Linked DNA regions of Bombyx mori. The protein of the gene in region 2 purifies or fractionates together with the protein of the main gene of each other region. This does not show direct contact. Links are inferred from orthologs where the notes say so. Each region holds a gene or a part of one and is shown on either strand. Other genes may lie near its edges. The genes, in order: sonic hedgehog protein and protein patched.

What was found.
Region 1: the proteins of protein patched (region 2) and sonic hedgehog protein purify together in Drosophila melanogaster (affinity purification with western blotting; 3 studies listed by BioGRID). This does not show direct contact. The link is inferred for Bombyx mori from reciprocal best matches to the Drosophila melanogaster genes ptc and hh.

What each region holds. Positions count from the first base shown.
Region 1 is NC_085115.1:6,252,039-6,256,513, reverse strand, and holds the start of sonic hedgehog protein, read right to left. Parts: upstream 2,929-4,475; 5' UTR 2,880-2,928; coding exon 2,445-2,879; intron 1-2,444.
Region 2 is NC_085111.1:13,396,852-13,400,683, forward strand, and holds part of protein patched, read right to left. Parts: coding exon 3,768-3,832; intron 3,646-3,767; coding exon 3,438-3,645; intron 1,849-3,437; coding exon 1,579-1,848; intron 305-1,578; coding exon 164-304; intron 1-163. UniProt on the Drosophila melanogaster protein: Segmentation polarity protein. Acts as a receptor for the hedgehog protein (hh). Associates with the smoothened protein (SMO) to transduce the hedgehog signal leading to the activation of wingless, decapentaplegic and patched itself.

The DNA.
Region 1 (4,475 bases), on a different chromosome or scaffold from region 2:
TGACCTAAATCGTAGTAGGGATCTATTAACGAGTAATAGACAATTCCCAACTATAACAAAAAAAATATTTCCTTTACCAAGCATTTAATATATTGCTATTTATATAAATTCAATCGTAATTTATTTTCTTTAGCTCTTATTACGTTTATATATGTATTATTATATTTCTACTTCAACTATAAGGTAAAAACATAATAATATATAAGTATCCACGGAAATTAAACATTTGATATTTTTTTGACTATATTATTTGGTCTCGACATAGCTGGTCTCTTCGAAAACATTTCTACCTACTTTAATTGCTGCCACATAGTTAGATGCGTAGATAGATCAGGATGACGGTACGTACCGAGGTTATAATACAAACATTTTACGGACAGACTACTATCATTTGACATTGACCGACCTTAATAAACGTAAATAGGACAAGAAAAGTTTGTCATCATAGTTGGAAGAGTTGAAATGTGGCTTCAAAATATTATTATATAAATATTTTTTTAAAGCTACTGACGCAAATTTATCGATAATATGTTGTAGTTAATTTTCGTTTAGTTCCTCTTTTTTGTACAAACTCAAATTACTCGGAAAATTTATAGATTGGTTTACACTTTGAGAACTGGTGAAGCACATAAATAACCATTAAAGACCTATTTAAAAGTAATATTTTAAAATTTTATATGACGCTATATGTACCATAATTCTAAAAATAAATATTTTGTGCAGAAAATAAATAAGAAATGCAACAATACCCTATAAAGTATATATATTTTATGAAAATGTATTGCAATGTACACTGTCTGTTTATTTTTACAAAATAACACCTTTGTGACTGAATCCTTTTTATTTACAAGGGAAATATCTTAGCCTGAAAATTAATAGTAGTGATAAATAGGTGTAAAACTGGTTAACATTGCGTTCGCGGCCTAATGGAATAAGTGAACAAATCGTATGCGCGAAATTCTGGAATTCCTTGCACACGTACTTAATATTGTCTTATTTAATTAATTATAAGTACGTATTCATTGGCATTTAAACTGCGCAATTCTTTGAAGGTGCCGACCATAAAATATTTTTTATTTGCCATCGATTGCCGTTTATTTAATGTAAATATTTTTCGTTCATTAGTGAAGCCGTATACTCGTTACGAACTTTTTTTTTTTTTATTGCTTAGATGAGTGGACGAGCTCACAGCCCACCTGGTGTTAAGTGGTAACTGGATTCCATAGACATCTACAACGTAAATGCGCCACGCACCTTGAGATATAAGTTCTAAGGTATCAGTACAGTTACAACGGCTGCCCCACCCTTCAAACCGAAACGCACTACTGTTTCACGGCAGAAATAGGCAGGGTGGTGGTACCCAACCGCGTGGACTCACAAGAGGTCCTACCACCAGTAATTACGCAATTTATAATTTTGCGGGTTTGATTTTTATTACACGATGTTATTCCTTCACCGTGGAAGTCAATCGTGAACGTTTGTTAAGTACGTATTTCATTCGAAAAATTGGTACCAGCCTGCGGGATTTGAACACCGGTGCATCGCTACATACGAATGCACCGGACGTCTTATCCTTTAGGCCACGACGACTTCTATTACAACTATTAACTGTGTTATAGTGCTGTTTTCGTACTATAGGTATATGTAATTGATAGTAATTATCTGCAACATCGTAAATTCCTTCATGAACATTCCATTACACAGCGGGCTATGATTGTCTTACGAATAGTTTCATATTTTAAACTGAATGACTTACTATGGAAAAAAGTTCACATACTTATACTAAATCAATCGAGTTGTAATGATTTCATTACTATTACAAATACTTTATTCAAAACAAATTAAATAATTTATCCATTATTATATGTAATATATTTATATGAAATAACATACATATAAAATAGTTTACCAGTTAGTTGTTTTCACGTTAACACAAAGCAACAATGACAACGCAAGATACTCAATGCCTTCGACACCAACTTTTATGGTGGTCATATATTCACCGAAATTGACATCGAAATTGAAAAGAATCCATCATTCATCCATTAGTCACAGAGTCAAAATATTTGTTGACAAAGCCTGCGTAATTGCAGTGCTACAATCGGCACACTCGCTACGAAGCTACCGTAACGCCCGCAATTTGTTCCCATTGTTCCTCGAGCGTAATGTTTACATCGACAATTGTCATTCTGCACTCCAGGAGATGTTTTCAAAACAGCGTATGCTTCATCAGAACTGTTGTTTTCAAGGAAATCTTAAAAGCCGTAACGGGCCATGACGTCCTCTGTAGGTACGTCTTCGTATATAATTCAAAATCTACTTTAAAACGAAGGGAACTTTTGTGGCGGGTATCGTCTATCTATGTTATAGTAGCATTTCCTTAATTTATTTTATATCTAAAATTTGTAAATGATGCAACTATAATTTTTAAATAAATTACTTACCTGAGTCATTAGACGATCAGCGCCAGTGCCTTCGTCGTCCCTAAAGTCTATATCCGGATTATAATTAGGCACTAAGTCTTTAAATCTCTCGTCATCTCTGGTGATGCGGCCCTCGGGAGGACCACTGGCGGTGTTCTTATTTTCGCTAACATTCGGATCGTGCTGGCCAAAGACAAGGGGGGTGATGCGGCGCGGTCCGTGGCGACGGTTGAAACCGCGGCCCGGGCCGCATGCCGCCGCCGCACCCAACCACAGAAGCACCAGCGAGAGCCTCATCTCGCAGACATCACTCCACACGCGCTCGACGCACGACCACCGCGCGCCGCGACTTGAGCGACACTGAGAGCAACTGCCACAACCCGACTCAACTGCACGTCCACCACCGAGCCTGAACTTGCATCCCTTGCTTGCCGCCCGACACCCATGAGCAAGCATTCCCACCACCGTTAATCTCCCACTTCACTTATAACTCGCTACCCACAGCACATTAAGCGATGACGCGCTCCCTGGGGAAATCCTATTAACCTAACGCGGACGCAATACAATATACATAATCAACTACCCTAGTTTGTGTCAAGCACGGTTATCTCATTCACGAAATGACACATTTTATGTATTTGAGGTATATAAGTAAAAAATTGAGATTTACATATGAATGTGCTTAAGATATTATAAGCCATTTTCATTTCGATTTTACTAAATGATAAAAAATCCTACTGGTATCTGTAGATGATAAATTTTTAAACAATTTACAGAGCACCTGCATTTTGAAATCGGTAGATTGATGCACAGATTGAAAAAGAAGAATGTATCTATACTAATATTATAAAGAGGAAAGATTTGTTTGTTTGTTTGTTTCGAAAATGTTCCGAAACTACTGGACCGATTTGAAAAATTATTTTTCCATTAGAAGCCGACATTGTCCCTGATGAACATAGGCTACTTTTTTTTAAAAAAATTTATTTAATTTTTTTGGTTTCATGTGTGTTTTAATGTTTCCGAAGCGAAGCGAGGGCGGGTCGCTAGTCTAATATTAATGTTATAAATTGTCAAACACAATCAATCTTGTTAATTAATCAATTCAGAAACGTAGAATGTAGTTGGCGATAAACCCCCAAAAGGCACTAACTGTTCAAACATTATGCAAAATAAACATAAATTTAACATAAGCGTATAAAAGCAGAATCATCTTGAATTGATGTGTATTTTTTTTATTATAGGCTTGTTATGTGTATTCGTTTGAATAATTTAGAAATCACGTGTTCTTAGTGCTTATGTGTTCTGAGCATGTATTTAAATATTAGAATGTGTTTAAGTTTGTATGTTATTTATTTATGAAATACACCTACCGTGATTTTCTCTGCATCACCTTTGATTGACTTAAAGACATTACCGTATACATACGTTCGAAAATGTATAAAATACATAAAGTGTATACGTTCGAAAATGTATAAAATACATAAAGTGTACTAAATAAATAAACTAAACATGATATTAAAAGTTTTTATTCGTCGCTACCGGTACATATCTACATAGTCAAGAGAGTCGGTGATCAGAAATAATCATGAATAATAATATTAAAATTATTATTTTCATAATTTTACTGATATTAATAAAATTATAATGCACTATTTTAACGTACACTCATACCCACATGTAAATTACATAATAAGGATTTAAAGAATTTGACAACTGGAAGTACCTACCCATTTAAAAAATTATAAAAATAATAATTACCCCCTATGTAATATGGAAATAAATACACGTGACATAGAGATTGTTTTTCTAAAGTAATGTTTAATATTTAAAACGAAAGATTTATTGATGATGATTATTAGAATGGAAATTAACATTAATAAATTCAATTTGATGAAATGTCCATGCGCTTTGTTCTGTGTCATTTCTTTGAATTAGTTGAATAAATTTTACCGCAAACAAAACAATACCACGTGAATGCCGCCACCTAACTGAGATATAAATAAGTAGAATGATGATACCCTACCCTAGCAGGATCACAATATGCTCTACGAC
Region 2 (3,832 bases):
AGGCTATCGTCATAAAGTTAGACTTTTGTCAGGCATTTGTAATCAGCCTTCAACGATCTCAACATCTCATGTAATCAATCAAATTCCTTGACCTTTCATAATTAAGTTGAACTGCCGTAAAAGCTTAACGTTTTCAGTACGGTATGTGCACGACGAAGCTCACCATGAACACGTATCCCAAAATAATGTTCTTGAGCGAGAGTTCCGAGAATTTTCCGAGAATATCGTTGAGCGTGGACGACGAGAACGGGTAGAAACTGTAGGCGGCGGACACTTTGCCAGAAGTGGTCATCTTACGCACCTCCTGGAATGTTAGTGAACGATTAACACATCGTTTTCTAAATAATTAATTAATACGCGAAGGAAAAACTTTGTATCTCTTTTTACGAAAATTGCGCGGACGGAGGAGTATGAAATATCCCACAATTATAGAGAACATAGAGAAGGAGTGTCGAATGCTAATATTTTTTTAAATTATGACTAAAAAATACATTAAATCAATAAAAAAAACATTACACACACTACCATGTATTTGACGCACACACGCATGAATACTATTTATTTATTGTCAAACTTTTGTTCTTGACGTCTGTGGTCAAATTGAGAATAGATTAAATATTGTTTGTCTTTATTAATATTTTTCTATAGCGTAGTCTTAACGAAATTTGTGATTGTATAAGTATAAAAGTCTTTAACAATAGAATCATAATAGTGTACAAACTTATATTTCAATTAATTATAGTCGAATTTCGACTACCAGGGCATCACTAGTATATGTAAATAATAAATAGTAAAATAATTTAGAAGATTACTGTTACGTCTTTACAAAAAGTTCAAAACAGTTCAGCTGTTTAATTACAAACCGATTGATGAGATTTAGTGTTTAGCGTGATTAAAGAGATTGAAGTCAAAGTTTGGTTTCAATATGTCAATTTGCAAACAATACATAAAATTTTAGTAAACCAAATTCATTTCATTCTTGAGATAGAAGTAGTTATGGGCGAATTTAGATTGTCTAAGTTTTAATAAACACAATGTAGCCTATGAAGACTATAAAAATCATGTCTTTTTATATATTTCACGTGCTTTCGTGACAATATACATATAATCTGCACATTCATGACGTAATATGTACCATCCGAATTATATGTTTTTTTAATATTTTTTATAATTTACCTCCATTTTTTTGTCGTAATAATCAGTTTTACGGTTCGTAAGATCACTTCGCGACAGAAATAGAGGGTGTTCTTTTGCGATTTTTACATTTTATTTTTTTGTAAGCTAACATTTGACAACATATTAAATTAAATTTCTTAAAACAAAATGCTATGAAGTTTTTTTTTTTTTTTTATTGCCTTTGTAGGCAGACGAGCATACGGCCCACCTGATGGTAAGTGGTCACCGTCGCTCATGGACGTCAGCAATGCCAGGGGCAGAGCTAAGCCGCTGCCTACCAAAAATTAAATTAGTTATATATTAAGTTAAATATTAAATTAGTTACTTCATCAAATTATAGCAAATGTCAATTTGGTTAAATATAGTTAATACTCGTATAGTTAATGTAGTCGTTAAACTTACTGCAGCGAACTTTCTCTGCCAGGAGTCGAGTACAACGGCGGCTTTCTCTTGCGTCCACCCAACGTGGTGCACTTTGTAGTGATCTGCCCAATACTCGTACATCTCTCGTTCTCCCATCAGCTGTACGACCGTCTGCAGGGCCTTCGCACTCCTCAGCACCGAAGTGGAATTCCTGGTAGCGCCTCCTACTATCAGCTGCTCCGGCCAGTGCATGTACGCTGCTGCGAAGCCGTAACAGCCGTGAGACAACTCTGCTGCCACATCCGGAACCTAGAACAATAACGTTATCTTTATATCAAAATACGCGTTCAATTCTCATTACGGATCCTCCCGATCCATTAACGGTGCTTTTAGGAACCACAAGCACCGGTCACCGTCCTCGTCGAACCCGTCGCTTGCGACGAAGGGCTCGACGAGCGAATTAACTTATAGACACAGCCCACTGAGTTTCTCGCCGGATCTTCTCAGTGGGTCGCGTTTCCGATCCGGTGGTAGATTCAGGGAAGCACTGCTCTTGCTATGGCCAGTGTTAGCAACACTCCGGTTTCGGCCCCGTGAGCTCATCTACACGTTAGGGCGAAGCTGATATAGCTTCTCAAGGCCATCAGCATAGGTAGGAAATAAAAAGCGTTCAATATAAGAATCTTAAATAATTTATAACCAATTAAAAAAAAAAAAAGATTTTTCGAACATTTTTTAGTACCCGCTGGGCTACGTATAATTCATTGTTTGAGAAAATTCTGAGTAACTTGTCGTCAAATGAAGAGTCCGCGGTCACGACAAGTCCAAGAAAACAAAGTTAGGAATGAAATTTATGAGGTTTCCGTGGAAGTAGGTGTAGGTAGGTTGGGTGGTGAGCATTATTGATATAATAGTGTCATTGTGAGTGGGTACGGCGGCGGCAAACGAGGCCCATTGAAGCGTGCACAATGCACCCGTATAATGCCGCGCGGTCCGGCGCAGCGAACAATGCGCGTCCGACCGGCCCCCGAGCGAACGTGGGTGGCGACGCTGCACACTGCCATCGCACTCAAAAAAACGAACCCCAATCAATGCAAGCCGAAATCGCTGTTTGTTAGAGACAATCTTCTCAGTGGGTCGCGTTTCCGATCCACCGGTAGATTCTGCGAAGCACTGCTCTTGCTAGGGCCAGTGTTAGCAACACACCCGGTTTGAGCCCCGTGAGCTCACCTACACGTCAAGAAGCTGATATAGCCTCTCAAGGCTATCAGAATAGTTCGGGGAAAAAAAAGTTACAGACATTTTGTATCCGTAGCAACTTGCGACCGCTTTTTTTTCTAAATGAATTGTAACGCGTTCTTTGAACTGCAACGTCAAAATCGATGGGCAGTAAGTGAGGGCTCGATTGCGAAACGAGAGTTTCCGCGTGATGGTATCGTATCACACGCGAGACGAACGTAACTTTCTCGGAGGCGCGCCGGCCGCGGCAGGTAGTCGCTGCGTCTGCCCGCCGGCGATCGCTTTCATCCCGCCTTATTACCGTTTCCAAAAATATTTTATTATTATGGAACGTATTTAAAGTTTATGCGTTTAGCTTCGATAAAGATGTTTTATTTTTCATGTTCTCTATACACGTTTTATTTATGCGCTAATAAAACTGTCGTAAATTGAAGTCTCCGTAAAAGGACCGGAGGTTCTCGTAATGGTTATCAATCGTGAGTCTCGAACAAGCGTAGCGAACTAAATATTCGACACACAAAATAATATATGCTAACTGGAATGTTTACAAAGACACGAGAAGTATGTTCGCAATTTAACTGAAAGCGTTTCGTTAACAATGAGGCAGAAAGAGGACTGCAAATAGAACGTGGCGATTATTATTTGAAAACAACACTTACATGTCGCGATTTTTTGTTGGGAGCCGTTTTTGGGCAGTGCGCGTCGTTTGGGTCCAAGCAAGGCTTCTTCATGTAAGCGGAGGTGATACCAGCTCTCTTCATGTACGCTTCTACCGTCCCGTAAGGAAACTGAAACTTCAATTGCTTTACTTCTTCTAAAACTTCTTGCGGGTTCAAATGCGTCCATTGTAGCTTTTGTTTGAGATTACTGAAACGGAAAAAAAAACAGAACGTTTTGTTATCTGTTACTTCCAAATAATTTCGAATAATTCGAAGAATCCACAATCGATTTTTAAAAATAATTTCAAGATTCGATATTTTTATACTCACGGAACGTAAATAGGATAATCGGGTCCGAGGAGTTTTGAGCCTTCCCAGAAACAGTCTAGTGGTGT